4 linked regions of the Caenorhabditis elegans genome follow. The protein of the gene in region 3 interacts with the protein of the main gene of each other region in a pairwise test. Each region holds a gene or a part of one and is shown on either strand. Other genes may lie near its edges.

What was found.
Region 1: the proteins of C11E4.6 (region 3) and C50F4.1 interact in a two-hybrid assay, tested with the Caenorhabditis elegans proteins (one large-scale study listed by BioGRID).
Region 2: the proteins of C11E4.6 (region 3) and ape-1 interact in a two-hybrid assay, tested with the Caenorhabditis elegans proteins (one large-scale study listed by BioGRID).
Region 4: the proteins of C11E4.6 (region 3) and twk-40 interact in a two-hybrid assay, tested with the Caenorhabditis elegans proteins (one large-scale study listed by BioGRID).

What each region holds. Positions count from the first base shown.
Region 1 is NC_003283.11:9,524,266-9,531,473, reverse strand, and holds C50F4.1 (CHK kinase-like domain-containing protein), read right to left. Parts: upstream 4,682-7,208; 5' UTR 4,630-4,681; coding exon 4,528-4,629; intron 3,665-4,527; coding exon 3,044-3,664; intron 2,955-3,043; coding exon 2,865-2,954; intron 2,796-2,864; coding exon 2,686-2,795; intron 2,505-2,685; coding exon 2,339-2,504; 3' UTR 2,224-2,338; downstream 1-2,223. Other genes in the region: C50F4.10 (non-specific serine/threonine protein kinase), read left to right, coding at 1-18, 64-198, 255-389, 612-830, 949-1,278, 1,335-1,424.
Region 2 is NC_003283.11:11,672,739-11,680,265, forward strand, and holds the start of ape-1 (Apoptotic enhancer 1 protein), read left to right. Parts: upstream 1-3,199; 5' UTR 3,200-3,223; coding exon 3,224-3,283; intron 3,284-3,517; coding exon 3,518-3,649; intron 3,650-5,256; exon of another isoform or gene 5,257-5,461; intron 5,462-6,974; exon of another isoform or gene 6,975-7,182; intron 7,183-7,386; exon of another isoform or gene 7,387-7,527. UniProt on the Caenorhabditis elegans protein: Negetively regulates apoptosis via its interaction with cep-1.
Region 3 is NC_003284.9:9,607,494-9,617,680, forward strand, and holds C11E4.6 (ANK_REP_REGION domain-containing protein), read left to right. Parts: upstream 1-3,069; 5' UTR 3,070-3,082; coding exon 3,083-3,207; intron 3,208-3,254; coding exon 3,255-3,594; intron 3,595-3,784; coding exon 3,785-4,015; intron 4,016-4,530; coding exon 4,531-4,879; intron 4,880-4,994; coding exon 4,995-5,309; intron 5,310-5,357; coding exon 5,358-5,669; intron 5,670-5,717; coding exon 5,718-5,846; intron 5,847-6,084; coding exon 6,085-6,605; intron 6,606-7,027; coding exon 7,028-7,198; intron 7,199-7,268; coding exon 7,269-7,491; intron 7,492-7,596; coding exon 7,597-7,727; intron 7,728-7,851; coding exon 7,852-7,997; intron 7,998-8,052; coding exon 8,053-8,296; intron 8,297-8,780; coding exon 8,781-8,915; intron 8,916-8,958; coding exon 8,959-9,099; 3' UTR 9,100-9,552; downstream 9,553-10,187. Other genes in the region: C11E4.7 (PID domain-containing protein), read left to right, coding at 9,754-9,874, 10,169-10,187.
Region 4 is NC_003281.10:13,484,554-13,492,143, forward strand, and holds twk-40 (Potassium channel domain-containing protein), read right to left. Parts: upstream 4,952-7,590; coding exon 4,838-4,951; intron 4,642-4,837; coding exon 4,410-4,641; intron 3,919-4,409; coding exon 3,800-3,918; intron 3,719-3,799; coding exon 3,519-3,718; intron 3,473-3,518; coding exon 3,382-3,472; intron 2,989-3,381; coding exon 2,756-2,988; intron 2,621-2,755; coding exon 2,551-2,620; intron 2,512-2,550; coding exon 2,351-2,511; intron 2,181-2,350; coding exon 2,090-2,180; downstream 1-2,089.

The sequences.
Region 1 (7,208 bases), on a different chromosome or scaffold from region 3:
TTGTTTCCCGGCACTCAGGTATTTTTGATCATAGACGTAGACTCTATTTCAATCCAATTAAAGGTGTACAAGTGGACAATCGAGAAGAAAATTGCACAAGGAGATTTCAATTTTATTTACATGTGTAATGGATCCAGCAACATGTCTAATTACAAACAGTTTGCTTTGAAATGTGAAAGTGCACAGAGCCCTTTGCAGGTGAAACATCAAAATTGAAAATTTTACTTGTGTTAATTGTGGATCATATATTTCAGATGTTGAAGGTTGAGGCATTTGTCTTGCAGACAATTGCTAAGCGAGGATCTCGTCATTTCTGTGACATCGAGGATATTGGGAAGTTTCAAGGAATACATTATATTGTCATGCACATGATTGGCAGAGCACTAGTTGTTAGTTTTTTAACAGGTTTTGCAGAAAACAATGCAGAAAACAAGAAAACAAAAGCAGAAACCAATCAATATAGTTTCAAAATCATCATAAATTCTATTGTAATCCTGATATCAACTTGTTCGTTTTTCTTGACATAGTTTTATAGTTGGGAGACACTTGCTCTTTTTATGACTCAATAATTACTGAAAAAACTATTTTGCAAAAGTCCCAATAATTTTCAGGACTACATGAAAACCTCCATGTCTGGAGCAATCTCAGTCAATTGTGCCCTGAGCGTCGGAATTCAACTCATCGAAGCACTCGAAGATCTTCACAATTGTGGCTTCATTCATCGAGACCTGAAACCTTCAAATATCTGTTTTGGACGGAAAGATCGTAACGAACTTGGAAAGTTGTATCTTTTGAGTTTTGGAATTTCACGACGTTACTTGGACTCCAAAGTAAAGATTACTTTTCTCAAGTGTATTCACAGAAGAAATATTAACACCATTTTTCGGCTTTTTGAGACAAGTGAAAAGCAAAAATCATTTGAACTCTGAAGAATCATAACTTTTTCAGAATCAAATGAGAAAACCTCGTGACAATGTTGAATTCCGTGGAACCGTTCGATATGCTTCATTGAATTGTCATCAACTGCAAGAACTGAATAGAAAAGATGATTTAGAATCAGCTTTCTACGTTATCGTTGAAATGATCACTGGACAACTTCCATGGAAAGGTCTTCCAGATGGTGCTGCAGTTGCACGAGTCAAGCAACAAAGTCGTCACCCATCAGCAATCGCTCTTTTCTTGAGAGCACCTTGTCCGATGGAAGAACTTCGTGAAGTGATGATTCTCATTGATTCCTACAATTATTTCACAGCTCCCGATTATGTTAATATCTGCAACGTATGGTTTTATTTACAATTGTTAAGCATTGTTTCTGTAAAATCCTAATATTTTAGATTCTCCGTCGGGCAATGCGCAGAAGTCCTCAACCGGAACATCCTTATGATTGGGAACAGGGAGGAACTAATTCACTTGGAGACGTGTAACTACATCCTCTCGATATTCTCGAATAAAGATTGTGACAATTACTATACATTCAAATACTCTGAAAAGATTTTATTTTCAAAGAAATGTGCGAATTTATGGTGTGATATTTTTCTATCATTAATTTCTTGATCAACTGCCAAAAGATGTTTGGATACAAACATCTCTTCAAAATCTGCTATAGATGTACCAAGTGCTGAAACTCTTCATCTGAAACTTTCGGATGCTGCATTTTTTGTTCTATTTTCAACATATTTTCAATATAATTATTTACAATATTATTTACAATAAGCATTTTATTGTAAACCGTACGCTGAGTAGCCCCAAGTTTCTAAAACATATATCAGATCTTGAATAACGAGATGTCTGACAACTGATGATTCATGAACTACCCACATAACATTATCTCCTCCCGCCTGACCTAACTGTCCTGTTAACAAACTTTCGTTCCTATTTATTCTTCTTGTTTCTATCCCTCTTATTCAGTGTATTGTATTTATGATCTATTATGTGTACATTTTTCTTTTTTCTTCAACTTTTTCCACGTCTCTTCGCGAGCGTAAATAAATAAATTAAGTAATTAATATCTATTTACAATATAATTTATAAATAGTATATTGCTATTTATATATTGTAATATGAACATCTTCTTACATAATTTAATTTGAAAGAAATGTTCTGATTTTCTCGAAGACACCCAATCCCTTTTTTAAGCAAGCTTCAAGTGTTTTCTCACACGTCATACATTTATTATTTTGTCGTCCGTATATCTACGTTGTCAAGAGATGCATCTTTCCGTTCTTGTATTGAAGATTTATTCATTCGTCACCAAGAAAAAACGACCAATCTTTATTTTTGAATTCGGTCATTTATTCTCGATTCTTTGAAAAAAAAAGCAAATACGTTATCTTATTCTTCAATCATCATTCTCTTTTTGTGAGAGAAATGGGTGCTCATTATCCGAAATGTAGTTTCCAGTCAAGAAATCTACAGTATCATTCAACGCTGTCTCCCATCGACGTGCAGCATCTTGTTTGACGTCATCCGAACCTTCACTCAGTGTAAAAAGTAGAGACTCGATTCTGGAAATGATTAGAAATTTTATTTAATGGGACTAGTGTTCTGAAAATTTGGGGCAACCTAAAATGCCTTGAAAAATTATTTTCTTGAAAATCCGGTAAAACACTATTTTATAAAAAATATCAAAAGTACGACAACTTTTTGGTCTTTTAAAACATTTGAAAATTTGAAACCTAAACTCACCCATTGATTAGAACTGTAGGTTGATATTCCTGGAACCATCTTTTCAAATCATGCAGTTGATACTTTGGTGGGTAATAGTCAACAAGTGCATAAAAATAGACTTGAAATATCTAAAATTAAAACAAATTACATCAAAAACATCTGGTGCTCTGCCGTTCCCATAAGACTCTCGAACCCACTTTCATGAACTTTTTTCGTCGAATGTCGACATCTGCAGATGAAACAATCAAATTTGCTAAATCCTCCACTGGATTTCCAAGATGAATGTTCTAAATTAATTAGGTTTTCGTTGTTGAAAGATCAAAAGTAAAAATTATAGTAGAACGCAGTTTTTTCTATTTTAAAAATAATTACGTACTTCCCATTCTGTGATCTCTACCAAATTCCCATCCTCATCAAATCTGCAAATCTCAGCTGTCAATCTTCCATGTGCGATAACATTATGTTTTTCCTTTTCATCTGCATCTTCATCTTTCCAATCTTCCAAGTAATGAGTCAAAATTCCAACTTTTTCAATAACTGAGGATGGATTCATGAAGTAGTCTGCAACTTCTGTAGTAGTTACTGCTGTTTCCAACACTTCAATCAATTCTTTTTGAATTTTCTTTTTGAATGATATGATGTTTCCATAATTTTCTTGCACATTGAGTGAGAATTGTTTATTGATAGTTTTTGAGTTGACAGCGTGTAACTTTGCAATCTGTGAGGCAACTTGTTCCAATTCTGGTAATCCCAATTTGGTACGAACACTTCCTTTCTTCAAAAATTGAGTAACATAGACAGAATGTTTGTTTTCATCTTCCGTCACAACAAACGATCGATTAAAATGTGCACTTGGAATAGGAATCTTCTCAAACGTTGATATCTCATGCCAGAAAAGTGAATTGTAGTAGGCGGCAAGCTTGCTTCCTTCCTCTAGTTTCACTATAACATCTTGATCATCTCTCACCAAATGCACTCGGAAGAGGCCCTCCGCTGTCTAAAACCAGAAAACGATGATATTCTAGAAGGGCGGGAGAAAGAAATTGGCCTCATTCAAAGGTCATTCAGTATCACATTTTGGCACATTTCTTTCGAATTTGGAACAATTTCGTAGAAAGTTTAAATCTAATCCTAATACTATACTTCCAATATTTTAATTATTTTTTTTTGTTTCAACCGTATTGAGTTCAATTTTGAAAAACTTGTTTATTTAACAATATTTCCGTTTTCTTATCAGTAAAACAGGCAGTTAAAAATTTCCACAAAAAACGTCATTAGAAAATGAAACGACTTGAACGAAATTTCCTTATAACCGGAATAATCTTTGTGCTCATTTAACTCCCAATATAATACACTCCATCCAAAAACACAAACATGAAGTATTAATTTTAAAGAGGTAATATGGAATTAAAAAACATGAAAGCTTTGTACGAAGACAAAACATTGGAAAGTAATTCGTACTAGCACCTTTAAAAGTGAAGTTCAAAGATAATTTCACAAGCAACATTTTCGAAAATTTTTGAAATTAAACATTAAAAATTGTCTAAAAATATCTTAATCTAGCGTTGACGGTTTTTTCTAATCGTTGAAAATAATAGTCAGATTAAGAGAGTCGACAATGTAACGTATACGATTTTGGCATCATATTTGCAATATTTAAAAAATTTGCAAAATCCTTTTAAAATTTGAGCCATTAAAAAAACTAACAGTAATAGGAGTTACAATAATTTTATAGTACTTGATATCTGTAGTACATTTAAATTTTGAGTTAAAAGTTTTTGAGATTTTTGCAATGCCCTCAAATAGTTCCTATTGGTTTAATATATGAGTTTTCAACTATGAACTAATTTATAAAGTTACCTCTAACTCCACGGTTGTGACACCATTGATAGTGACAGTAGGATTAAGTTCTTTAACTCGAGACAATCCAAGTTCCTTTGCAATTAATGCAGTGATGAACATAATAACTTCTCTGTGAATCAACCAACAATGCCAACACTGATATGTCCTTCTTCTGAAAATGCAAAGAAAAAAGGGAGGAGAGGGAGCAGGTGGACGAGGTCTTGTTATCAGTGATAAAAAATGCGGGAGAAAAAAGCGAAGAGAATCGAAACTAATGACACTGTCCCGTTTATGACTTTGATGATGGGCGACGACAATACTTGCATATTTTGTGTTTCGTAGAGCAAATAACATTTGCAAACACATTTTATAGCAATGAAAAAGAAGAGGGAGTGAGTCACGAGCTGAAATTTTGAACGAAGATCATAGGTGGTAGGTACTTTGCTAATGTGGTAACCATTTGAAACTGATATTTATCCGAAAATTATGAAGTGGGCGGCACAATTCTGGACGTAGGATATCGGATATCAAACTAGTGGGTGGCTGAAATGAAGACGAATTTAAAATTTAAAGTTCACGTTCGAAGACATATAGGACATCTGCCAAGTTGGCACTACATGTATCACATTAAGTTTTCAGAAAAATTGCGATATTTTCTCTCTAGGCTTGCTTCATGTAATCGAGTTTGAAATCTTCTTTCATATTTGTTTCTGGTTTCAATCTTACTGGCTAATATTATTATCAAATCAGTAATAATTTGGCGAATTTTGAGCTAGGTTTATATTCAATTTATACTGGAATAATTATTTTGAATCGTAATGTTGTTTGTGTAACGGTTTGTAAGCTTATAATTTGGAAAATCCTTGAAATTTTTCGTTGGGTAAATCCGCGCTAATTTTTTACCCCGCGCAAAAAAGTTCAAAAGTTCAGAATTGAGGCCTTTCCATTTTACATGTGATTTCCTAAACTCTAAAAATAATTCCAAAATTAATTTTAAGGAAATTTGAAAACAATAACCTCAGGACACATTTAAATTATTGTTTTCATCCGTATAGAATTGAAAAAAATCATTTTCATAAATACCTATTTTCGAATTAACGTTTTGTTTTCGTGCGTACTTTAATGTTCTTTCAATAGCCCATTTCATCCTTGCTCCGGTTGAGTTGACGAACGCCTTCAAAATGAGCCATAATTGAGAGCATTACTTTTTGATGCATTTTATTTTCCATTAAATGTTGTTTCTCTTTTTGTTGCGTTGTGCAGAACAATAAAAATACAAAACAATAATTTAACTTTCGATCCAATTAAAATTATTTTTTTTAGAAAACCAAAAATATTGATTCGATATAACGCTGTCTTAAAAAAAAATCTTATGAACAAAAACTTCATCTGAATTTCTTTTTCGTATTGTTTTGTTAAGAAACTGAAAAAAAGTTGTTTTTTTCCAAATCGAGGCAACTCTTGTTTTATCAATATCAGTTCATAATCTCTTCCCTTTTGTAAGTGGTAAATAAGAGTTTCTGTTTGTTTTATAGTATTAAATCACTCATAAATTGATACTAAGTAATCTTCCTTTAAAACTATTTTTGATGCCGCATTGAATATTTTTTATTCTGAATATTTCAGAAAAAAAGTTGCCATCTAAAAATATATCTAGTATTTTTAGGAACTTTAAGAAGTGCGACTTTGAAATGTGAATGATTTCAGACTTATCATGAAAAAGTGCTTAACTCGGTAGAATTTCCAGCCTGTTAATCAAAAAGTCACGCATCATTTGACCCATCCGATTGTTTGATTTTAGCCACTCCCTTTCTAGCATTTTAAAAATGCTTCATGACACTCAACTGACTCAATACGTCAACCCATTTCCTTCTCCTCCCACTCAACAAGTCAAAACAATTTTTGTGCATCACGAACAACCACCTCCTTGTTTGGTAACATCATGACGTTTGAAATGCTTTCACCTTTACAAATTTGCATGACACTCTCTTTGAATACTTTGGGTGTTTAAACCTAAACAGCTTATATTCTTTGAGAAGGCATCAATTGGTCATTCTTCAAATTCCTTGCTCCTCTAAGCATTGTTTCCTGTTGCAAAAACCGTGAGCAGCAGAATACAGTTAATGTTTTATTTGATAAAATTATTGCAGTCTAATTATTTCTTTATCAAAATTACTATTTGAAAAATTACTACAAAATTACTATCCTGTTTTTAGAATAATTATCATTTGGTAGTTACAAAACAATCAATAATTCTTTTTTCAATTATATTGGTTGTAATTGAACTGATGTATTATCCGAACAAATAAATAAATCTTAGGTTATAACTAAAAATATACTAAACCAACATTTTTTTGAAGTACAGATACTACATAAGTTCTATATAAACTAAAATAAAGACTACGTATAATTGTACTTTAATCGAAAATGTGTTCATCTTCAGTATACGTTCAACTATAGTTTTAGTTTTTATACGTTCCTCTATGTTCCGCCCATTACTCTCGAAGTCTTAAAAGTTTTTTAATCTTTGTCTCCGTACATATATCCTTATATCTCAGCGTGGGTGGAGATATTTGGATATTCTTCTCAAGAATCACCAACAAAGATTAATTTCCTTTTTGTTCTTTTTAAGAAATGTCAGCTCCCCTCAGTTCCTTATTGACATTGAATTATGACCTTACATTTTTGCACCTTCAGCC
Region 2 (7,527 bases), on a different chromosome or scaffold from region 3:
TAAAACTTTGTACTTTTCGAATTTAACAAATGTTTTAAGCATCGCTCAGTTATCTCACGGTCCCCTTTCAGGTACATTTTTCTTCTATTTCGAATTTGATTTGGAACAAAATAATAAGCACAAAAGGAGCTGGTCAGGTTAAGATTACTGTATGAGGTGATTTACGTACTTCCAAAAATAAACGAGTAATTGAAATTAATTCTCAGATTTCAGTTGACATTATATGTGTTTCGACCAAAAGCACGTTTTTACAATAAATTTTTATTAAGCCGATTCTGCTGCTTCTTTTGTAAATTTTTAAGGCTCATGAAGTTTTGCCAAAAAAAACTTCTGAGCTTCTTTCTTGAAAACGTAACAATAATTTGAAAACATATAAAAAATCACATATGAAAAATCATTTGAAATAAATTATAATACATTATAATGACGTTTAGATTTCCAAAATTTAAGGTTATTCAAGCAAAGACTGGTAATCAGTAAATCTTAGGCTTTCTTTTTCGCCCAAAAAGTGACAAAAAGTGAGAAAAAGAACCGATCGTTTTTTTGTTGTAGTGTTTGTTCTTTTTTGTTCAGATGAGTTAATAGTTTTTTTTCAGTTTTATCTAAATACATACGCAATTATATTTGCCGACCTAATCGATATCGATCGCGAATTTAAAACTTTCTCCCTAACGTACCTTCACTGACATCGCGTCGAGACCCTTTGCATATCAATGTGAGTGCGGCTTTAAAACGTGCTACTGTTCCGGCGGCGTGTTGTTCATTTTCTTCTTGTTCTTGTTTTTCTTTTTCTTTTCTCTCATGATTTTTCCCGATTTTTTGTTATTTAGTGGCTTTCAATAATCCCAACTTCTTCAATTTTATAGTTTTTAACGTAAAAATATCAGATTTCAGTCGTTTCCTACTGTGTTTTCTTTATTTCACAGTGAAATTTAAACAATACATCTTTTGAATACTGAAACCAGCTGTTTTCTCAGTTTTTCTTTTCGTCACACTGATCGCTGGAAGACAAACACGAATTGTTCATCACACATTTTTTTTTCTCCCTTTTCGGCGAAAAAACCGAAAGAAAAAGTTTTCCGCACCCTTGTGGGCAAAACGATGAGCTCGCTCGTTTCGCAGGAGAAAAGAGCGCCGAAGGTATTTACTTTTTGGATGTCTAGCTTTCGCTTTCTGTGATAAAGATCTCACCTATAGCGCAATATTTCAATCATTTCCGGCGATCAGTTCAGAAATGACGTATTTTCATATTTCCCTCTCTCCGTCTCTTCTGTCTTCCTAGTCACTCTCTCTCATTAGAATAACGGTCGCTCTCCTCTGACCTTCTTGCCCTCACAACAAACGCACACAAATATCCTTTTCTTTTGCCTGTATTCAACAGAACCGATTATGCTCTGCGTCTCTTCAATCAACTATGTCTCTCATGTGCCTTTTCATTCTGCGTATCTTCTCTCTAATGCACTCCCGTGCTCACCTTTTCCGTCCCTCCATTCCTGTACTCACATCGTTGACACGCCCGAACGGTCGAACGGTCCGTATGAGAAATTGGTTCAGCCAGCTTCCTTCTTTCTACCTTTTTTTTGTTTATTTTGGATAAGGAACTCTGAATTTTAATTTTTACTTAAAATATTTAAACGGCTTTCAATTTACTTTTAAGTTATTGACAAAGAAAAACAATCATTGAGCACATTTCCAATAGAAAGTGCACTCTTCTTGTTCCCACTTCAAACAATTGAAATGTGCGGGAGCAAAAGCTCCAATTCGCTTCTAGTTTTCTCCTTGTAGCGAACAAAACAATGATGTTCTTTTCATTTGGACAAACTTGATTTGTAATTTTATATAATCGATGCAATTAAAAAAAATTTTCTCTACCGCGAACCTATTTTAAAAACTCAAAATAAAATCCTGAATTAAAAGAACCGGAACATTTTTACTTTTTCCTTTTCGTTTCCTGATGACCATTCGAGTTTCGTTAGTGACAAGAGAAAGAATTTGTCGAAATTGAGTTTTCTCCTCTTCCTTCCACTCTTTTGTGCTTGTTCTGCTTCCGAAGCAGCCAATTCTCGACTGAATAGGCCACTTTCGGAATTATTTCAAGTGGACCTCTTCCTTCCTCTATTCATCATGCACTCTTCTACTTCTGCCCCCATTTTCGCTCAATTGTCAACGATTTGATCATCAGAAAAATAATTTTTCGCAACTTCACTTTTTACGGACCATAACTAGCAACCCACATTTACCGGTGTTCTTCTCCTATTTTTGGTCGTTAATCAACCGGTGATCCATTTCAAGGTTGATGTCCCCGATCTCTTTTTCAATGTCTGTGTATCTCTCATTCTACACCGAAAGCCGTTTTGGCATTGTGCCAAGTCTCTTTTTGAAGATATGTGGTACGAGACTGTGAGAAATAAGAAAAGTTTGTTGATAATAAACGAAGCGAATAGAGAGAGGCACAGAGGGACGACCCCAATATCTAAGAGGCCGTGTTTACTTTGGCTCGTCGTCATCTTTCGAACCAACACATGCATACGCTCCCTTGCGCGCGCGCTCCTCTGATCATTCAATCGCAGGTCCTCCTTCTCTTCGTTATTTTTGTTACGGCTCGTTCTTTTTTACGTTTTTAGCATGTGAGGCGTTTTATCAGCAAGTTTGAAGTTTCAGCAAAATTTCATATGTAAGTTATTAACACCTTATCACTGATTAAACGGTATTATTACGAAATGATAATAATTCGTAATTAGATACAGAAAACTATAATAACACGGCTACTTGATAATTTTCATTGTTATGTTTTTGGACTCTCTCCTGATTTTTCTGTTTCAATGGTTCAATTCCTCTTTGATCATTTTTAATGGCGGTGAAATATTATTTTTGTTCTATAATATCTTCAAACCACCGTGTTAATGTGAAAAATTAAAAGAAGTTTGTTTTTATTTTGAAAAATTGAAAATTGTCATAAATTTCACGAAAAAAAACGGTCGAAATTCTCATTTTGGAAATTCAAGCATGGAATTTAGCCAAAATTTAAAAATTCAATTTTTCGTTGTTCTTCGATTTTATTCGTTCTTCTTCTGTGGCATTTCTGAATTTTAGACAATTTTGGATTTTTTAAAGAAAAGTTCAGTATTACGATTCACGTTTGCTCTTTGTCATTTTCTCTCAATCCTTTCAAACAAAATTATACTAATCTTCCCTCCATTTTCAGATCTCAGTTCTCAACGAGATGGTCACGACCAGTAGCGGAGGGGGTATAGGGTACCCGGCAAACAACGGTGTCACACAGGTGAGAATCGAGATTAATTATTTTTCAAATTGTTACAAAAAGGGATTGATCTATTTTTGTAAATCTTATATTCACGTGATTCATGAAGTACGTGAACTGTGACGAAATCATAATTTGTTTAAAAAAAAATCTAAAAATAAAAATTTCAGTGTCGATAAAAATTTTTCAAAAAATATTTAAGGTCTACTGTTAGATTAGCAGATGTTTGACGATTATCCATTTTTCATATTCCAGGTGTCTCTGATTCACTCGTCGGATTCTGTACGAACTGTTTCAACTGCCCCAATATACCGTCCGACGTCATCAATGGCATCTACGATGGCTCATAAATCTTCGACGGCTCCGTTCATCTCCGCAAATCAACGAGTTAGTTTTTTTTGTTTGAAATGAAAAAATGCGGAACAAAATTTTCAAGAAACGGAAATGCTATTAAGATTTTATTAGAAAAAATTGAAAAAGAAAACTCGATAACGGAAATTCTTCATATAATTCAATTGGTTTCTCCCTTCATCTCAACAATCCGTTTGATGGATGATGGCTAGGTTCTGATAATTTGTAGTTTTTTTGCGGGGAGAGTAACGGAATTCTTTGAATTTTTGCATCTCACGCAATTGTATCATCACCTTCCCAAAAAAAGATAGTCAGAAAAGGAGAGAACACCTCAATAGCGTATCTTAGCGTAGAAAAAAGTCATCTAATTTTGATTTGAAGTGTCACGTTTTGTTTTTTTTTTTCTGCCGGGCCATAAGTCAGGTAGGCAGACATCAACGCATCACAATCGCCATAAAATAATGATAAAAATATTATATTTTAAGATAGGTCCTGGTTTGAATTGGTTAAGATTGTCGAAGATCAGAAACGGATAGGAATGCATCAGAGATTATTAGTCTCGCGTGATACCTTCAGATGGATCAAAATGACTTGCTTTTTTTAGTTGATCGAGATTGATTCGGAAAAATTTATACCAATCAAGTAAATTTTTGATGGAAATAAAATCAGTAAATTTTTGATTCAGTTCCAGAATACTCGGAATATGCCTACAAACTGAAATTTCCCAAAAGAAAAATAGAAAAAATTAAGAAAGATCAAAAATTCCAATTTTCAAAAACGCTCTTTTTCAATTTTTTCCCTATTTTAATTTCCTCCAAAAATAAAACTGCGATCAATCAGCATTTCGCTCCGCCCACTTTTTTACCAATCAGACGAAGACGCTGATTGGTTCGAAACTGGGTGTGGCTTCGAGATATGTAAATTCACACTTTTCAAAGTTGGAATTTTTGATCTTTAGTAATTTTTTCTTTTTTCTTTCGTGGTATTTCAGTAAATTGGAATTTTCAGAGTTTTCTAAAAATGTATCCCCATTTTTCGAAATCCTCCTTTAAGATTATCAAAAACATTTTCATAAAATAGTTTAGTCAATATAAAAATTCAAATTCCTGATGATAAATAGTCTTTCCATAGGTTCACGACCACTTTTAGTTTAAAAATTTCTCTTTTTTATCTTTCGGTACCTAATCACCACATATCATTGATAGTAGTGAGTGCTCTTCGTGGATCGGTCAATTGAAAGAAGATGCCAATTGGCGTTCTCCCCTTCTTACTTTTGCCCTCCACGAAATTGAAACAATTTTCTCATCATCTTCATTTTCTTCTTCTCTCGTAACAGAAAGTCTGACCTTTGAAGAGAGACACAGAAAGATAGACGAAGTATTCGTGTGCGTACGCCGTACGCGCCTTGCCGATTAACCTCGATTTATCATTCAAGCTTTCCCCTATATTGGATTCTCCGACTTATTTCTTCATTTTAATTCTCTTCTATTTTTATTTTCTTGACCCACTGGCCAAAAGCTCTTCGTGAATATTAAAAAGTAAAAAAAAGTTCCTCCTCTAGCGTACACGAATATTTTTTGTTGATAATAGACAACAACTGTTTTATTTTTGTTTAATTATTTTATCAAAAAAAATCTGTGGCTGTGAAGGAAAGATCGCCAAAAAAAAACTGGTCAGTCGATTAATTTTCGATTATAAATTTTGTTTTTTTTTTTCACTTTTCACTCACTTCCTTCTCATCGTTGCATAGTCTTGCGCACGTCGGCAACGCGTATTACAACTAAATTAATTGCGCAATTGTGTGAGTGAACGCGTGTGTGAGCGTACGCTTCTCTCGGCTTCTTCTCTTTCAATTCCATCATCTTTCTATGTTGTCGTCGTAGAGTCGCATAAAGTTATAGATGTTATTTTTTTTCTTGTAGTGTAATCGAGACTGTCGTCAAGTCATTATGCATAATGATATGTATTACGTGTTAAGCGTTATTATTCTACAATTGTAAAGTATTTTTTCATCTTCGCGAGGCTGTCGGTGACTGTTCAATGATTGTTGTTGTAGTATTTTATGACAGAAGATACTATTCTATGGTGGCAGCCACTACAAATAATGCCATACTCTTTAAAATATTCTTGAAAAAAAACTGATTAGAAATTTTGAGAATCGCTTCATTTAAGTAAAACATTTTTTTTTGATCGGTCAAAATGGGATACATGTTTGGTTCGCCGAAATTTTTCTTTACTCTCTTCCGGTGTTTAATGTTCATTTCTCTTCCGGTGGCCCGAAAGAGTTCTAAAGCTAAAATGTGACATGTGATATCATCATTTTGAAAACACTTGTTTTTTTTTATCTTCCGTTCGCCAACACGACTTTTTTCTTATTACCACATCTGATCCAATTGAAAGGGAAACCGATTTAAGTAATATAAAAGTCATCTCTTGCATAGGTTTGAAGTGTTGAAGTTTTGACATTTACTTTTTCATTCTGTAACTTTTCGTCGACCAGTTGAATCCTTTTTCTATTCCGTTAAATACATTCAGCTTAGTTTCATGCTTTTCAATACACCAACAACCATCAACACAATCGTTGTCCGAATCGCCTCAGTTTGGTATGCGATTTAATGCGAATTGTCGGTGACTGTCGTAGAAATTAAAATCAAAACAGATTTTCTTCTATTATTTTATGTTTGCTAAATTCCTCAATAGTTTGTTCAAAAGCGTCTTTCGTTTGTTTTGAATTAATTTTTAATTCACTCTTTCTTCTACTTCATTATTAATTTTGTGCGAGAAGTTCGTCAGATCATCATGAGGGCGCATAGACACAACATTTACGACATGTTTCACTTTCGGGATTTTCAATTGAACAGAACACCACCAGCACGAAGACAACGACAACGATCCACACTTTGTTCCAAAATACACGTTCCTTCCCATCGTAGGGCCTCCTGCTGAGCTTTTTATCCTATCAAAGAAGCTTCTTGTCGAAAAGGAGAATATATTTGAAATATTAATCTTTGTTTGAAATTATCAAATTGATAATTTAAATAGGTTCATGTTTCATAGACTAATTCAAATTTCATTCTATTTCTCTTTTTGCCTCATTTTTACTCTGAAACATTACCTAGTGTACAGTTACCAATAACTGATAGACTCTCTAAATCCAATAATTATCTCACGGGCTCTTTCTGATTCAGGGATATTAATTTCTGCACCTGTCAAATTCGTATTCCAAATAGATCCTAGAATTTAACAAATTTAGCCATTTTATATATATAATATTCTTGCTCTTGATCATTAACACTCGATTTCCACTGAAAGATCAGATCATGACGCTCAACTATCTGTGCTTGATTCCCGTACTTCCGATACTTTTCGCAATATAGATCTCGATTTCTCGAGTGCTTCCTATAGTGAGCCGTGTGCCGTCTCCTACTGTTTTCTTATTGTTTTGATTGTCTCGACAACAAGCCGCGAGAGACCACGTGCGGCCGCTGCCCACCAATAGAAACGATATTTATGTCTCGTAGAGTCTTGCCGACTGTTTTTTACGCTTTCCGTGCGCGCGTCGGCAAGCTCCGATGGCGGCACTGTAGAACCTCCAACTCACCGTCATTACCCACACTGTGCTCTGCACCGTTCACACTCATCAATAATTATTGATGTTGAAGTTAACTCATACATCCATTTAATTCGATTTGATTTCTTCAAGTTTACATAAGGCATAGTTTCCACAGTTTTACAATATAATTGTTAGTTGTAAACTATTGGTTAAATAGCTCACACCCTTTTCATCTTCCTGTTGGAATATAATAGAGGTTTATGGGACGGGACGCCGTTTCTCGTCTTCGTCCCGAAACAAACTACTACCACCAAAAAAAGAAGAGGAAGGTCTCTATCGCTTCGCGCAATCTTTTTGACTT
Region 3 (10,187 bases):
TGTTTCAGAAAATTTGAATTCACGCCAAAAATTTTCAAAGAAAATTTGAATTCCCGCCAAAAAATTTTGAAGAAAATTTGAACTACCGCCAAAAATTTTCACAGAAAATTTGAATTCCCGCCGAAAAATTTCAAAGAAAATTTAAATTCCCGCCAAAATGTATGGGTCTCGCCACGATGGGTCTCGCCACGATGGGTCTCGCCACGATGGGTCTCGCCACGAAGGGTCTCGCAACGATGGGTCTCGCCACGAAGGGTGACTGGCCCCGCCCACAACTCTCAGTGACTTTAGGGGTGACGTCACAGACTACAAAGACTACATAGACTACAAACTATAGACAGACCCACACTATTTTTTTATATATAAGTAATGATCTCAAATTCACAATTTCCTTTGTCAAGTTACTCAAAAGTTGGCTTTTGTTTTGAATTTCACTATAAAGTAACCATAGAGACATCTTATTGTTCTTCCATTATACTTCACCTCTCTATATCGACACGGTTCTCATACACCTACCAATTACCAGTTAGCGGAAAAATATGCACTGAACTGAAAAAGTCGTCATAGTCATTATGAATACTATTATTCGTGTCACATTTGTGTGATGGGTCATCACACCATCATCATTTCATTCTCTATCTTTATACATATCACATCTAGTTTCTACTTGTTTATGCATTGAAAATCTGATGCTTCATGCTGTAACAAAAGTTTAGGATTTATTTGCACGACCTGCCCTACCTCATTCCTCGTCTTCCACATTTTCTAATCAAATGAATTGAGGACAAGAAGAGATATCAAAACAGAAGATAGGTTGATTTAGCACGGAGGTGATAATTGGCGAAAAAATGGGGGAGAAGTGAAAGCGCTAGGTGATAAGGGGAAGAAAAAAGATGGATGGATGTGCGTTTTTCTTGACATATCTCTTCCAATCATGCCATGTTTCCGCGGTCCCGTTCAAAATCACACGTCAACTTTTTATTTTGATAGATTAGATATATTATTTCAATGTATTCTTCTCGCATCTCAAATATTTAGGAATAACTGGATTGAGCTAAAAGAACTTTGAAATGCTATATTTATACCTTTGTTTTGAACACCCAACTTTTCAACTGGTTAATACACTCTTTTTTAAAAATGCAAATGATATAACCAAAACTTTTCGTGGGAGTTAATTAAGTTAAAAATATTTTTAAATAAATATATTATTTAATATATGGTGTACGGTTGAAATTGTAAGCCAAAGATTTTTTAATGTGCGGTGTGAACAACGAAACAGTTCCAAAAGTTTTTTGAAAAATCTCAGTTTTTAAAACTTCGAACTTGGGGATTTAATATAAAATATTTGGAAAACTACGAAATCGCATATCTGAACCGCCTCACTATAGTTTTTTTGATAACATTTTTCATACATTTGTGGTTTTCAATTTTTACTTGTCTAATTTTTATTTTGATTAACATAAGGACAATTTTTCTGTAGAAAGTGAGCAGAAATAATCAATTTTTTTTTTAAATCACATTGGAAACTAAATCCTCAACGCAATTTTAGATGTTTGAAGTGATATGTGTTTATTATTCACCTACATATGCAACACGTTGGAAACACTTATTACAACTTAACAGCACGGGTTTATCATTCTTCCTTCCTTCCACCTTCTCCTCTCAATTTCCACCCTTTATCTTCCCTTTACTGCACTTCATAAGTGCTTTTATCTCTTTTTCTTTTCCTCTCGATTTGCAGCATGTCATTATCTTTTTTGTCGTATATGTTTAAGTCAACGATTATTAACTTCAATTTAAGCATCGACCGTGTATCCTGTGCTATTATGTTTTTGTTGTTTGAGGCTATTTTGAAAAGTGCACAGCCTCCTCCGCATGTGCTCACTAGTTCTAATTGAATTTATCTGATTATTCGAGGAGAACCTTCTCAGATGCATAGAGTTGGTTTTTGTTCAAAAAATTTTTTCTTAGTCAGAAGTTAAATGTAATGTGCACCCATCACTGATCATAGTACATATGAATATAAAGTTTATTCAGCGAAGTTAAGGATTCTAACATGTAAAACAGCTGAATTATTTAAATTAGGAAAAATCGGTTAAAATCACCTTGAAAAATGTTGCCATATTGACTATAGCTATTAAGTAATAATTTTCTAAATGGAATTCATATTAATTCAGCTGGCAAATTTGGAAAAGTGTTTTGTCACCATCATGTTTTATTTTTATTTTTTGTAATTCAGTTAAATTGTTGGACGCTATGTTTTTTTGTTGAAGAATTGACACGAAATTCGTTAAAACTATAATTATCATTTTTTAAGAACATATCCGACAACTTTTCGTGAGAGCCATTGCAGTTTATAAAAGGTATCTTGTTCTAGTGGTACATTTTAGATGTAAACTCGCAAAGAGCTGATAATATGAGGAAAATCTTCACTATAATTTTTCACCTAAGAATATCCTTGATGACTACAACTCGAACTCAATTTTCCATAAGCTACTATTAAACTTTTTTTTCCTACATTGACCATTAGTAGTATTAGCTGTAGTTATATTCTTTGTTGTTGTTGTTGCATCCAATGCACTCCTAGACCGACAAAAATTGCAAAGAAGAAGAGGAGAAAAGAATGTGTAGTTTTGTGGAGTTGTGAGTGACCGGCCATCCACATTGCGCCCTTCCTATTCCCATCACCCTGCTTTCACCACTCTTGTCGAGATTTTGGTGAAAAGCGAGTAAAATGCAATACATTACGAGGCATTCTTCGCGCGGGAGGAAACCCGGGGACCCCCTTGCTTTTCATCTACAACACTCCCTTTTTCTACATATTTCGCATTTCCTATCTTTTTATGCATTACTACTTCTTGTGGACCCCTTGAGTAGCAAAATACAACTACATCTCAAAAAGAGAAAGTAAACAAGATTAAGACAAAAAACTATATGTGTTCACAAAATCTGTTCTTTCTCCTATATTCTATCCGTCTTTTTTGTTTCCTACTTTTCTTTTTGTTTTTTGACATGAACATCTGCTTTCTCTTTTGTCCTAAATTAAATTCTGAATCGATCATTTTACAGGAGCTCAGATGAAATGAGCCTCAAAGACTTTGTCATATCAAAAACCGAAGTAATCGATGCTTGTAAAAAAGGAGAATATGATAAAGTTGCGTTGTTTCTCAGCTCGAAAAAGGGCAAAAAGATTCGAAGCGGGCTGAAGTAATACTTATTTTCTAATTTTCAAATAAACTATTGATATTTTTCAGATTTTTCACAACGCGATCAGACAGTCATTGGCTCGCCGACTACAAAGATGAAAAATCTGACTTCACCTTACTCCATCATGCGGTTCTCGAGAATCAAAATCAAATCAGTAAACTCCTTATGGACTACGAACCACTTCTTTTACTGTGTAAAAGTACAAAAAATATTTTACCAATTCACTTGGCCGCCTGGAATGGGAACTTGGAGATTGTGAAAATGCTTCTTTTACAAACAATGGAAAAGCCCGCAGATATTCTGAATGCAGTGAACATTTTCAATGAAACTCCACTTCATCTTGCAGTTCAGAGATGTCATCTTGAAGTTGTGTTCTATTTGATAAAGGTAAGCAAAGATAACTTTGAGAATTAAAACTATTCGACTGTGAACAGGAACAACATTCATATCTATAATAAGTTATTCAATTTTGCAATGCGTTTGACGTTTGATTCTTGTATAGAGATTAAATTGTTGACAGATTTAACAATTGTTAGCTTGAAAAATCACGTATCGTTTCAATTTCCTTAAATTTCAGAAAAATGCCGACCCCTTCATTCGTAATGAAAACAAGGAAAATGTGATTGACGTTGCATCACGCATTGGATCTGCTGAAGCCATCAGAATGTTGTGCCAAAAATGGCCAAAGTTTCCTGTGCAGTCAGCATATGAGTCTCTTCGAGTTGGAACACCGGACATAAAACGGCCCTTTCCGGCCATATACCCATTTCACCTTGCAGCAAAGTATAATCACGTTGAGTGCATGCAAGTGAGTTGCTTTTTCCACTTTGCTATTCATTATTCAAGAATTGAGTATAAGAGTAAGGGTGATGCAGAATAGTTTACTCCTTGCGTGAATGTTGGTAGCAATTTGAGAATAGCAAAAAAACGGGGTTAATTTTCTGATAGGCGTGTTTCATATGAATCTGCAAGTTTGTACAATGTTTACAAATTTGAAATTCGAAATAGATTCGATAGTAACATGCTTATGATTTCATTTTCATAACTCATCCCAAAAAACGTTTAGTTTGAAATATAAACACTCAACAGATATTTTTTTGACTGTGCACTTATGCGTCACGGTGTTTGCGGTTTTCCAACAAAAAAAACTATATTTTCTGTAGTAAATATTTTGAAACACTACTATTTATTATTTGTATTTTTGTAGTTTAATCATAGGTTTATAAGACTCATATGTTCTGTAGATTTTTTTAGTTAAACAAACCCAATCAAATAATTTACTGTTTCACTTAAATGAAAAATGTACTAAATGTTTAATTTCAGGCTCTTCGTGAACATGGTTTCTCCATTAACTACACTACGGAAGATGGGACAGCTCTACATGTGGCTTCTGCTTGTGGACAGGCCGAGGCAGTCAGGTTTCTGCTGGAAATTGGCGTGAACACTGATATCAAAAATCAACACGGACAAACAGTGCTCCAAATGATCATCGATCTCCAGGAGAACCGAAGGAATGAAATCGCCCATTTTGTAAAAAATCCGGAAGGATGGAAGGAATGTAGAACAATTATCGAAGGAATGGATAGAAGAGACTCTGGAAGAGAAACCGAAGGAAGTCAAAGTGACAATGAAAGAGAAGCAATTTGGCAACCACTTCCAAGTCAAGCAAGCGGTGGGTTATTTTTAAAACTAATAATATGTGCATTGTAAGGAACATTTCGGTTATCAATCGAGTTAAGCTCAAAGTTCAAAATCTGAATGATAAATAAAGTTATTCACGATTTCAGTTCAAGTATACCCGGATCAACGAAGAAACAATCATTCCATCTACCAGCCACCTTCTATTTCTGCAAGACTGCGAGATTTATCCCCCGACGACTCTACAGAAGCTTTGAACAGTGTTCGATCAGAGGGGCCTTACACCACACACTCTATCAATCGTACATGGAACAGTTCCATGTTAGACAGAGCTCCAAGAACTGGAAGGTTCCCGTTGACATCGCCTAGTTATCACTCAAAGCATTATTCGTGTCAAAGATCCAGCGATACATTGCCAACGAGGCTGAAAAATGTTAGAACGAGGCCAACAGAAAAGCAAATAGGTAATCTATTATCGATATTCTGAGTTTACGGATTGACTTTATTTTCAGCTTCTGTACTCCCGGGAGATAATTGTGCATACAACTCTCCTTCAAAATTCAATGAATGGCAAAAGAGTCAACTGACCATTAGCAATCGTCCGCCAGCACCATATGACAACGTTCCGAACAACTCTGCAATATTCGTCCGCCCCAACTCACCAATAGCAAGATCTGCATCACTCCGTAGACAATCCGGATACGCAACACTTCCAAAACTTGCCACCTACTCTCCAAGAATTCCAGATCATGGTCGTCCTGACCTGAATGACGCCTTTATTCAAGACCCAGACAAAACAATGGATAGGTCATTGAATCGGAACCGTAAGTATAGGAAACGACTCTAATTAATATAAAATAAAGACTTTTAAGAGTTTTCTATTTCCCGAACTACGTGTGATCGTGAAGAATCGCTGGGATTGACGCAAAGTCCAAGACTGGACACCAGAGCAAGCAGCATAACATCATCCTTGACATACGCGTGCTCGACACTTGACAAAGGTAGGCATTTTAAGCAAAAATGGAATGATTTAGGGGCATACGACAACCTAAAAAATTTCTAGCATATGATGTACGAGTTGATAAGTTCGGGTAGATTATGAGAAAACGAATCTTCCAACACTGATCTCATGCTCGGTATCTTGTTAACTCTGAAAAAAAACTTTGGTCAATGACAAGGAAAAAATCATTTCCTAAACTTATGGAGTCCTGAAGTCAATCTAAATAAATGCAATTTCAGATAAGTTCTTCCGGGAACGCGAACGTGATAACGGCCGTGCACCATTGGCAATGCCAGAAGAAATAACAGGTTCAGTGACAGGCAGTGTCATTTACAGCCAAGGAAATGCGAATCAACATCTAAATGGGAATTATGAGAAAGACAACAATGTGACTGCAATTTTTTTAGAAGACGTGATGAGACCATCATCAAACTCTGCCGAGAGCCCACCTTCCCCAAACACCTCTAAAGCATTCATCTTTGACGCGTTATGTGGAAAATCTCGGCTGGTTGACTCTACAAATGTTGATTTCTTCTCTGGATTCTCGTCATCGTCAAATTTGAGCCACAGAAGCACTGAATCAACGTCGAAGGTGCAGATGAATAGCAGTTTCACTGAGCCGGAAGAGCCTGTCCGAATCCGCCGTCAAAATGGAACAACGAACCTTATGCTGAATTCACTTTCACCCACAGATAATTTGTCGTCCCCCTCATCAGACCAGAAATCAGACACGACCAGTGAAGAACCTAGTTGGGATAGGGTAAGTCGATCAGGGGACAAACCAATTTTTGTTTATTTTTTCGTAACAATGGCGTATCTGCAAAAAGCACACGGATTTTATGTTTCTCAACAGTTTCTCAATAGTCAGCTATTGTTAATGTAAAGAAAAACAGATCAGAAGTTTTTTTTAATGATAAAAACCTGCACTCGCTGTGCGGGCTTAATTCTTACGGTGTATTTGAAATACAGAGCCAGAAAAACTGTAATAGGTCAGTCTTTTTTGTGTATTTGCAAAGCTGGGTAGCGGGAATAAAACGCAGTAAAAAATAACGGCAGCGCCTAAACGTTTGTGCGTTTTTGGATTATCAGCATTAAACAACAAAAAACGATTTAAATGTCAATTCTATAATTTCAAATTTGAAAAAAGTGTCAGTGAAACTTTGTTAATTTTTTGTATAACAGGTGGAAAGTGTATTCGATTCGTTTGGTGCAGCTCCATGTCGTGAAAGTGTTTTTGTTCGTGAATACGAGCCACGTGTGGCAGTTTACTTACGTGATCGTGGGTCGAAAGCGTTGAGCGTAACACTTGTCGAGGATGAGTTCAGAGATCACAAGTCGCTTCTTGTAAAAAAGGTACTTTTAGTTACATTTTTGTTTCAACTTCCATTCATGTCACGTTTTACACCGGTTGTTCATGTTTCAGCAACCAAAAACAATAATTGAGTGGTTGGAAAGTGATGTTATGTTAGCCCCAGTAGCGGCTGATTCAGTTGGAGCACTTCTTCAAACTCATGGATATGATAGAATGGATCAACTAAAAGGGATAATAAATAGAAGTATCCTTACGGAAATCGGAGTAGATGACGTCACCAAGTTCAAGATAATGTCAGAGATTGAGAAATTGAAGGATGATGTTGCTAGTGCTGGTTGGTTTTTTTTTGAAACATAAAACACATTCATAAAACACATTTACTCTGCCGGAACATTTTAAGAAACCTTCATCAATTTTTCAAATCACTTTTCAATTCCAGGACGTTTCTTCTATGTTAGTGAATGGCTCAACTTCATCGGACTTCAAGATTACATTTCCAACTTTGTCGGTGCAGGATACAAGCATATGGCAAAATTGACAGAAATTGACTGGGACACGGCAAGATTGATGGTGAGTAAATTTGTTCAAATAACAACTTTTGTGATTTTAAGATACTTTTTATCACTGATTTCGCGTTTATTAATCAAAAAATATCCATAGACCTGTGATAATTGTTGCATATTTTTAATTTCAGCAACTCGGTGTTACTCGTCCTGGTCACATTGCTAGAATGCTCCATTCGTTCAAAAAAGCAGAAGACGAAAAAAGAAAAGAGTACAATAATCGACTACAGATTAAGCCATTAATGTCACCTCCTCCTCTGCCGCCAAGGTCAAAACAGTAAGTTTTTAATGAGAAATAATTTTCAAAAGAACAAACATTCAACAAGTTTCAGAAACAACTGTGCTGAATGCCCACAAGGCGATTTTGACAAGATCAAGAACAAGTTGCTGCAGGGCAACGTGGTGTATCGTGCACACCACCTCGGTGTTCTGGAAATTGGAGAAACCGAATGCTCTGATGAAGCTCATGCAGCTATGACAAGAATCAAAGAGTCGATAATTGACTGGGAGACTATTCCACGGGTTACTTTGGATTTGACTTGCAATGGAATCACTATCTTCGATGAAACTTTTAAGGTAATGATTAAATTATCACCTAATGGAATTGACAAATTGTAAAAGTTCAGCAGAACTGAGAAGCGGTTAAAGAATAAGGGGGTCGGGAAACAATAATTTAACGACTGATACACCTGCATTCGTTGCAGGAAAGTTATGACGTGAAAGTATTTCATAAAATCTGATTACTTATGAAATATACTTATACGATGTGAAAAAAACACAAAGATATTTTAATCGTATGGTATTTCGGAAATTGGATTTTAGAAATAGAACATCATATTTCTCGAACCGAGAATTCATATTTTGTTTGTGTTTATCAATTTTATCAATTGTATTTTCTCAGCAGACGTTAGAGGTTGAGACGTTTTTTGACTAGTCTAGGAAATTCGCCGCAATCGGATATCAGCTGTAGGCCACAAAAGACCACCCGCAATATTAATTTGATTAGAAAATCCGAAGCGTTGACAAACTTGCCCCCCGATTAATCTCAATGATTTTTTAGACTCTACTTGACGGCTATGGTGTCTATACAATAAGAGTCGTATGTCAGGATAGAAAGGATCTCAACTTCTTCTGCTTTGTTGCAAGGGACACTGAAAATCGTTTCTTTTGTCACACTTTCTGTGTGCTGACCTCGGTATTTCGCACAAATAATGCCTTAGAAAAGTTCATATTTCTAGGGAATTGCCGCAGAAATCATCACCACAATCGGAATGATGTTTGAGCTCAGAAGCAGAATGGACAAGTCTCTGCCAATCGAAGGAACAATGGTACGATGCCGGCATAACAGTCAGCAAACTACTGAGAACCAAAGAAATTAAATCCAGCATATCGGTCAAATTCCAAAGAATAATTATTACCATTGATCCCAGTATATCTGAATTTCAGCCATAAGTAGATGAGATTGGCTTTTGTTACGTGTAACTTTACTTAATTTTTAAAAACCTTATTGAAAGTTGTTTTCAATTTAATTTCCTAACCCGATGTCTTCCTTACCCGGAAATGTTTTAATTCTAGCTCTTCAAAAGTGCATTCCGTTGTTTGATGTTCTTTCTATTCTTGTTTTCCCAACAACTTAATTTTCTTTTAGCGATTTCAAACCATACAAAGTGATCAATAAACAGTATTCTGCTGATCTTACGTATTGGTTTCATCAACCCCTCACATCACATCAACCTTTCTCGATTCTATCCTATCGTTTTTTTCCAAAAACCCTTCAATTTTTTTGTCCATAATGAATTGTTCCCATCAGTTTTAGATACATTTTTCACCACAAAAGATGTGTTTTTTTTTTGCCCATCAAAGGGCCATAGGGGGTGCCGTCGTTTTGTGATTCTTTCAAAAAGATTGGCAGGAGAAGATAAAACTGAACCGAGTGCAGGAACAGAAAAAGCAAGGATGAACCCCTCCCTTTTCGAATTAAATAAATAGAGGAAGGGAAGGCGGAACGGTTGCATTTTTTCATGAATGCATCCATGAACGAACTTTATGACGTGAAAGGACTTGGACTTTCTTCAATGGATACGAATATTAGAAATGCACCATCCGTTATAACATCGTCCCCTGGACCATCAGTGTCAATATCGTTAATTTCAGGTATTAGTTTTTATTAGAGAATTTTCTATATTCCAATTTCTCATAATTATTGTTAAAATGTTAATAGAAAAATTTCAAACTTATTAGGTAACCGTAGATAAAATCGGTTTGAAAAGAAAATGCTCAAAAAAATTTTCACGTTTCATGCCAAACAACAAATATTGAGAAATTTGTTTAATGAATGTTTTTTTTCAACTTTAAATGTGTTTAGCGAAAGGCCCTGAATTAATTTGAATAATTTCTTACAACAACACAAATTTTGTGTGACTACGAATCCGGAGATCAGTCTTGCAGGATTGACATTGCTTCCAAC
Region 4 (7,590 bases), on a different chromosome or scaffold from region 3:
AGATGGGCGGTGCAAATAGAGAAGAGTGAGGGGAAGATATCCTCTTTTTCGGAAGAAAAAAGAAGAAAAAGATGGCAGATTTTACGTTTCTTCTTCTTTTTGGAGTCGAAGAGAAGGAGAAAGGGATGGAGTACGGAATTTTTGATTTGAACACACACACAATTTTGGGAGAAAATTTATAGGACGAAGAGACGGAGATAATTTTGGCGAAAAATTCAGGTATTTTTACATTTTCTGAAAAATGTTCCGGGAGACTCACAATTTGAATTTCCTACCAAAGTTATTTTTTGTTAAAATTTGGAAATATGAATTTCCTGCCAATTAACAATATTTTAACGACTACATTGTACATTTGTAGCAAAATTTGTACGAAGACTGGAATTTTTTTTCCCGCAAAAATTATTTGAAAAAATATTGTCTTTAGTTAATTTGGGCGGGAATTTTAATTTCCCCAAAAAGTTTTGGATGAGAAATCGTCAGTTTCAAAATTTTTTGAGTTATTTTGTTTTTGAGTTTGAGTTGTCAAGCATGTCTGTAAAAAAATAACAAAAATTGAAAAGCCAAAAGCCAAAAACTGAAAAATAAAATACTGGAGAGTTAGAAAAACAAAAAAGTGGCGGAATTGATTACTACTGTGGGAATTTTTTTTTTGTTTTCCTTATATGAGAAACTTATACTGCGGCCCAAAAATTTGTCTGAAATTTTAATTAAATTCAATTTTCCAACTGATATATCATATATAAAATTTTCAAATAATTTTTGCTGAATGCTTAAAACTTTAATTGTTACGGTAAAAAAATTGGACGAAAAACTCAAAAGTATTTATTTTTATTTTATGCTTAAAACTAAAACTCAAATCTAAAACTTTCTTTTTAAAAATTTTGTTTCAAATTTCCAAATTTTTTCCAAACCAACCGAAACAAAGAACATAAGAAAAAGGACGAAACAAAAAAAAATTAGAGCACAAATTTCATTTCCAAATTTGCCAAAAGTATATCTGACGGGGGCCCTTTCTTTTCTAAAAAAGGGGATACAAATGTACAAACAGAAGACGAAGAAAATCGAGAAAACCGGGAGGAAGAAGTCGTGACTCTCTATTTTTCCTCGTCGCGTTTCGGGAATTGGATTTTCTCCCAGCTAAATTTGGGCGGGTGGCCGGAAGAAAAAACCGAAGAGGACGGGGAAGATTTTGGTGTACTGCTGAAACTCACTGACCATTCGAAATTCACCGTCGACTCAAAAATTTGTCGAACCTCTATCTGAACATTTTTAGTGAAAGTTACAATCCACTTCTTGTAATATGTTCCTATAAATGCTAAAAAAATCGGATATACCTATGTAGTTGAAAAAAACTGAAAAAATTTGAAGAAATGTTAAATTATTGAAGTGCATTTCATTACTGGGTTTGGGAAATCTTTGATAAAAAATGCAGACCAAATTTTGCCAGAGAACTTAATATCTTCAAAAATCCACAACTATATGATGTTCTAGTACCTATTTAGACTTGCATAACCACAAGAATAACATGGAAAATGACACTAATTAGTGTGTCAAACGGGGAGGAAGAGCATGTCCCCTTCTTCATTTTCTTTAGAGAGAAACACTAATTACTTTTATGGGGGAGCTGTTGAAGAGCAAACGCAATTCGTTGAAATTTCAGAATCAGATATGGTGAAGATTGGAAAATGATAGGGCTTCTCAGATAAACAAGAAAAAACAATTAAATGCTTTTTTTGAAGTCCCGGCACAAAACCCTAAAGTACCTCAAAAATGTTTCTACATTGTTAAAAATCGCTCTAAATTTCCAGTTTATCTAACAAAAATTCAGCTTAAACTTACAGCAATCTTTGAAAAAGTATAGTCATGGCAAGCTTGAATAGTTTTTTAACCTTCCGTACCTCATACAGTACCCGCGTTTTTGTTGCTGGACCCAAAGGCAACCTAACTTGATGCAACATATTTTGAACTTTGAAAATACTTTATGTATTTATTAAATTGAAAAATTTAGATTTATTTTCATGTTAAAAAATTAATTAAAAAACACCCGTTAAAACAAAAAAAAAACAAACACAATTAATCTAAAAATAAGTTAAACATGAACTTCTTGAGTTCTTCCAGTGAGAATTGACCATAGCGATTGCCAACTTTCAATTGAGGCCAATGCTCCAAAATCGATAAATCTGGAAATTTACGAGTTTTCAAAATATTTCAGATATCAAAACTTATCAGAGTAAATACCAAATGAATATTTGAAATATTTAATTTGTAACTGAACTGTTATACGAATCTAGATATACAAAAATTTAAATTGATTTTTCTTTTTATTAAGAAAAAAACCGAGTCCTCTCACCGTATTTTGCTCAGATCCTTTGGAGCATAAGCTCCCTTGACAATTATTGTGTCATGGGTCTTCTTTTGGCCATACTTTTGTTGTAGAACACTCGCATATCTCATTAAATCCGGCACGTGAACCATCTTCCCGCCGACGTTTACCAAAGCAAATCGGGCGTCCTAGAAAATTTTAGTAGGACTAAAAATTTAGCTTCTTACCTTAATAGCTCTTCCGAAGTAATGCATTTTCCGAATATACTGAATTCCAACCAAATCGATACACATCGTGCTGGAAATTTTTTGTTGGTACTACCTATATAAAATAACGCAACTGGCAAAAATTTTCAACGATTTGAAATTTGTCAACTACAAACTACAGTTTTTTTGAGACTCGAGGCACTAATAGCCAAAATCACAAACTTACGTAATCGATAATCCAATAATAATATAGCATAAGTCTAAAATATAATATTCCCGTTTCAATGGTACTATATCACCAAATCCGACAGTCGTCATTGTAATAAAGCTAAAGTAGAATCCAGAGAAGAAATCCCATCCTTCCCACATACTCAGAACAACTGCTCCAAATGTTATGTAGCTGAGTAGTATCGCCACAATTAGGAATATAGGAATCGAGATGTAGTTTTCCAAATGATCCTTAAAAAGTTCTAATTGGAAAGTGTTCGAGGGTGAAGTGGTCGATTGTTTTGGTTATTTTGGTGTTTTTGGCAAAAATGAATTTTTTGGATGTTTTTTTTTAGTTTTTTGTTCAGACCAAAAAAGAAAAAAAAACAAAATGTTTTGTTTTTTTTTCAAGTTTTTTTTTTGGTTTACTGGAGAAATTGAATTTTTTGTAGAAGCTGAAAGATGGGCAAGTTGCCGGTGATTAGCGGGCGGTTTTATCGCTCGTTTTTTTTTCCGAATTTTAAAAATGTACCCGATATTGGCTGATTTCAAAAGTATACTCGAAATGTACTTATTAATTTCAAAAAATGTTTGCCTGTTTTTGCCCATTTTAACCACTACTAGACCATTTTTAGACCCTCTTACCAGATTCAGGTCCCCTTCCTTATTCTTATCGTCCTTACTGGAAATGACACTGTATTTTTGTTTTGAGCACTTTTCCCGAAGCTTTCGGTACCTGAATTTCGGATTTTTAAAAAAGTTTTCAAAAAAAAGTGTCTCACCAAGTATACAATTGAACAATATTTTCAGATAAAAACTTTCCGATATCGGCAACAGTTATAAGGATCAGTGGGACACCGAAAAGTGCGTATAGGATGCAGAGCAATTTTCCTCTTCCGGTTACTGGGGTCAAGTTACCGTAACCAATAGTCGTGAGGAGAGTTGTAGTGAAAAATAAAGCTGTCATGTAGGTCCAATTGTACTGAAATTTAAAAATTGAGTTTGTGAAACTTAAACACAGTGCAAATTCAATTTCAGATAAACATTTCAGACTCCAACTCACGTCTTCATCCTCTCCGCCGGGTCTCAGATGCTTAGCTCCTATACAATGGGTGTCAAATGCCTCGAAAAGAATGCGAGTGACGTTGTCTACGTATTTTACAGCCAGATCCTCCACCACGTCTGGAAATTTCGATGATTTTTAGAGATAATGAAAACGATGGAACATTTAATTTGGAAAGTTCCAAGAAAAGTCGGTAATAATGCAGATTTTTTTTGAAAAAGCAATAAATTTGAAAAAAAACCCAAAAAAATTTGTTCATATATTTTCAACAATTCTGAAAATTTCCAAAAAATATTGATTAATTGCAACCGTCCTTTTAAAGTATATAGATAATTTGGAAAAAGTCTGCTCCAATAACATTGTTTAGTTCCCGAAAGAGTACACAATAATGTTTGAACAACCCTAAAAACTCAATAATTTTGAAAATATATTTATACTTAAAAAAAAAAGAAATGTCGAAAATATCAAATCTTAAAAATTATTTGAATATTTACGTTTTCAGAAAAAATTACGTAATAATTTTAATTTGAGAAAATCAATAAATTTTAAAAGCTTCAAAAATCGATTTTACCTATTGCTAAAATTCAAAATTCTAGTCTAAAAAACTTACGTTGTCCAATACCGCTTTCCCTCATCTCCCATAAATGTTCAATCATTTGTCGTTTGTGAATATTGAACCTTTCGATATTCCTAGCTCGAACTTCAACTTCATTCGGTTGCTCCAACTGATAGAAGAGAAACGCTCCAAATCCAACATAGACAACCGACAAGACAATAAGACTGACGTGAGCGAGGATTATCCGGGCGTAGGTTTTCCATGTTGCCATTGGGCGAGAGGTTATCTGGAAAAAATGATGTGAAAAAAGTTCGAGATTTTGAACCCCGATCGCAAGTTTACAAAATACCGCGTTGCCAATCCAAAGGGATTCAAATTTTGCAAAAAAGCGTGTACCGAGAAAAAAACCAGACAAGCTAATATTTCTACGTTTTGATTGAATATTCATAAAAACATTCATAAAAATCATATATAATCAATACATCATTCTCGTTCTGATCCTGCTCTCTGCGATGATAATGTCGTTGATGCATTGGTCGGGTGAACATCCCGACCCGTCCGGGGGTATAAGGTAGATGAGAGGTGACGAATGGCATCTAAATCGGAGAGATTTGGGAATTGTGAAAGTGAAACTACAGAAGTTCATACAAAGGTTGGTCTTACCAACATTCCTCATAAGGAAAATTTCGATGGGCCTGCCTAAATTTGTATTTCAAACAAAATTGAAGTTTTTTATAAATGGAAATGCATCTTGTGAAGTTGTGCAAAACTTAAAAAATAAAAAAAAAAGTTTTTAGCAGACCCGAAACGAAAACCGAAACCATAAAGTGCGGGGGAAATTGAAATTTTTTTTCAAGAACGAAAATTATTAAAATTTCAACATTTTTTTTACAACTATACAAATTTTATGCTAAACTATTCGTTATGTCCTATACAACGTCGAAAAAGTGTCAAAAAAGGTCATAAAACTCGGACGGGGTGCGAATTGCCTTACCCCTCCATCAATGGCTGGGACGAAGCCAGAAATGAGTTTTCTGTTTCTTTTTAGCATTGAGCCGAACAATAACAACACTCTTGGGACATTTTGATGAATTTCATCGCCCAACGAAAAAAGAACACGATGAGAAGTCTCATGGGGGGCGGAGCGCGAGAAAATGGCTCAAAATTTTGGAGCGAATTTTTTTGAAATTTTTTATGGTAAGTAGCTTTGCAAATGGATTATTTAATTGCAAAGAGAAATATGAATGAAATTTTAAACGAATGAATATTGAATTATTGAAGTTTTAAAAAAATTTTTCAATTTTTCTTAAAAACATGTTTGGAACTAATTTTGAAATTTCAAAATGTTTTACTTGACTCATTTGTGGAAAAAAGTTTTCCGAAAAAAAAATTAAATGTCGAAAAACGTTTGAATTAAAATTTTCAGAGCATAAAAGTGTACCCAAAATTTTCAGAAATCGAGGTGCTGAAGAAAGCTTCTAATGTTTTGAATTTTCCGAAAAAAAAATCAAACATTTCAAAAACAAATTCAAAAAACTCAAAAATAAATTTCAATATAAAAACTAAAAATTCATTTCGGAAACTACGATAGAAGTAATATTTTGGAAAACTGTTTTTTGTTGAAAATCTTTTTAAAAACCTTGTTTTTTTTTTGAAAACTGCTAAAATAACTGTTAAAATACTTTCTGCCAAAAACTAATCAAAGATAGTACAAAACTGACCACGGCAGTAAGGCCCAAAAAACAAAAGGAGAGGGGGAAGCTTAGGGAAACGGGCGGTGCCAAATCAAATTTGCACAAACAAAAACATTTTCCTGCCTAAATTTTCTTATTTAATAAGAAAAACTTGTCTTCCTTTTTTTCGAAAAAAGTTGGTAAAAATATATAACTTACGTGCATTTTTTTCCTGATTTATGAATTGACAAACTTTCAAAAAAAAAAGTTTTTGAAATTTTTTTTCTCTTTCTTGGAAATGTTCCAAAAGTATACCAAAATTGAGTGAATCGGGAAGTAGAATATGAGACGAAGTTTCTTAAAAACGTTTGCTCATCATCATCATCCGGAAAAGCTCAGTTTTTGGAAAAAGGTCCCTCGAGGGAGGCGAATGGGAGGCAATATTTCACGCGGACTCACTTTTGAGATGGAGGACAGCCGAACTTTTGCAACAGGCGGAAGGATATACATGAAAATAGTCAAAAACAGAAAAAATGTTTGGAAAAACGTAAAAAGTCCAAAAAAAAAAGTAGAAAAATTAACACCGGGGCGCTTGCGGGCAGATACCATAACAAGCAACCGTTGTCATTTAACAAACTTTTGATAACTTTTGGTAAATTTTATGCAATTTTTGACAAATCTGTGGAATACTCTAAAATCATCAACAGGTTTAAGTAACTTTCGCCAATGATTATAGCTAGGTAATATCAGGAAGTTTTAGTGAAGTTCTTAGAGTTGATTTTTTTTGCGAACACTGCAACCCTTGGCTCTTATGAAGACTTTTTGACAGTTTAAAAAATTTAGAGAATTCCAGGGGATTTTCCAAACTTTCGGCAACTTTAATTTTATCTTAACATATCGTGAAACCCTTTACCGTGCCCTACAAAAAGAGGTAATTTCTCACCTAATTCCGTGTGGATAGCCGAAAAAGTGATCTGCTAATCTCCTGAAGAGCTCTGTCACTTTTCATTTCTCTACTCTCTACTCTCTATTTTCCACAGAAAGTTTATTTGATGGGTCCGTCGCGTCTCACACACACCCCACAACTACTCAGTCAATTTCCAAATTAATCCCTACCCCCTTCTCGTGTGTGCTCCGGCTCATTTGTGGACACCCAAAATTGGAAAATTGACTAGGATCAGCCGGGCGCAAATTGTACCATTCAGGTGGGTGTTGAGAAGGGAGTTCGAGCGGTAGGCAAGGGAGCTTCAGAGATATGAAGGTGCGCTCCAAGGTGTGAAGCGTGCTAAGAAGTGATCAATTGACGTCTTAACGATATGCAAGAGTGCCCTCTGAGAGAGCGGGGAACGCGTGTACCCTACTATTAGCGGTAGATTCGGACCAGTTGGTATGCTCCAAGTGTGGATTTTTCAAATCAAAAAATATACGAGCCTCTAAAGTAAGGAAAAAATTCACTGATAGCAATTTCAAATCGACTTTTATCTAGTTTAAAGTGCTCCTCTGCCGCTGAAACTTTTGTAGGGTGTATTTAGAACGCTTTAGAAAGTCTTCTTCCAAAAGGC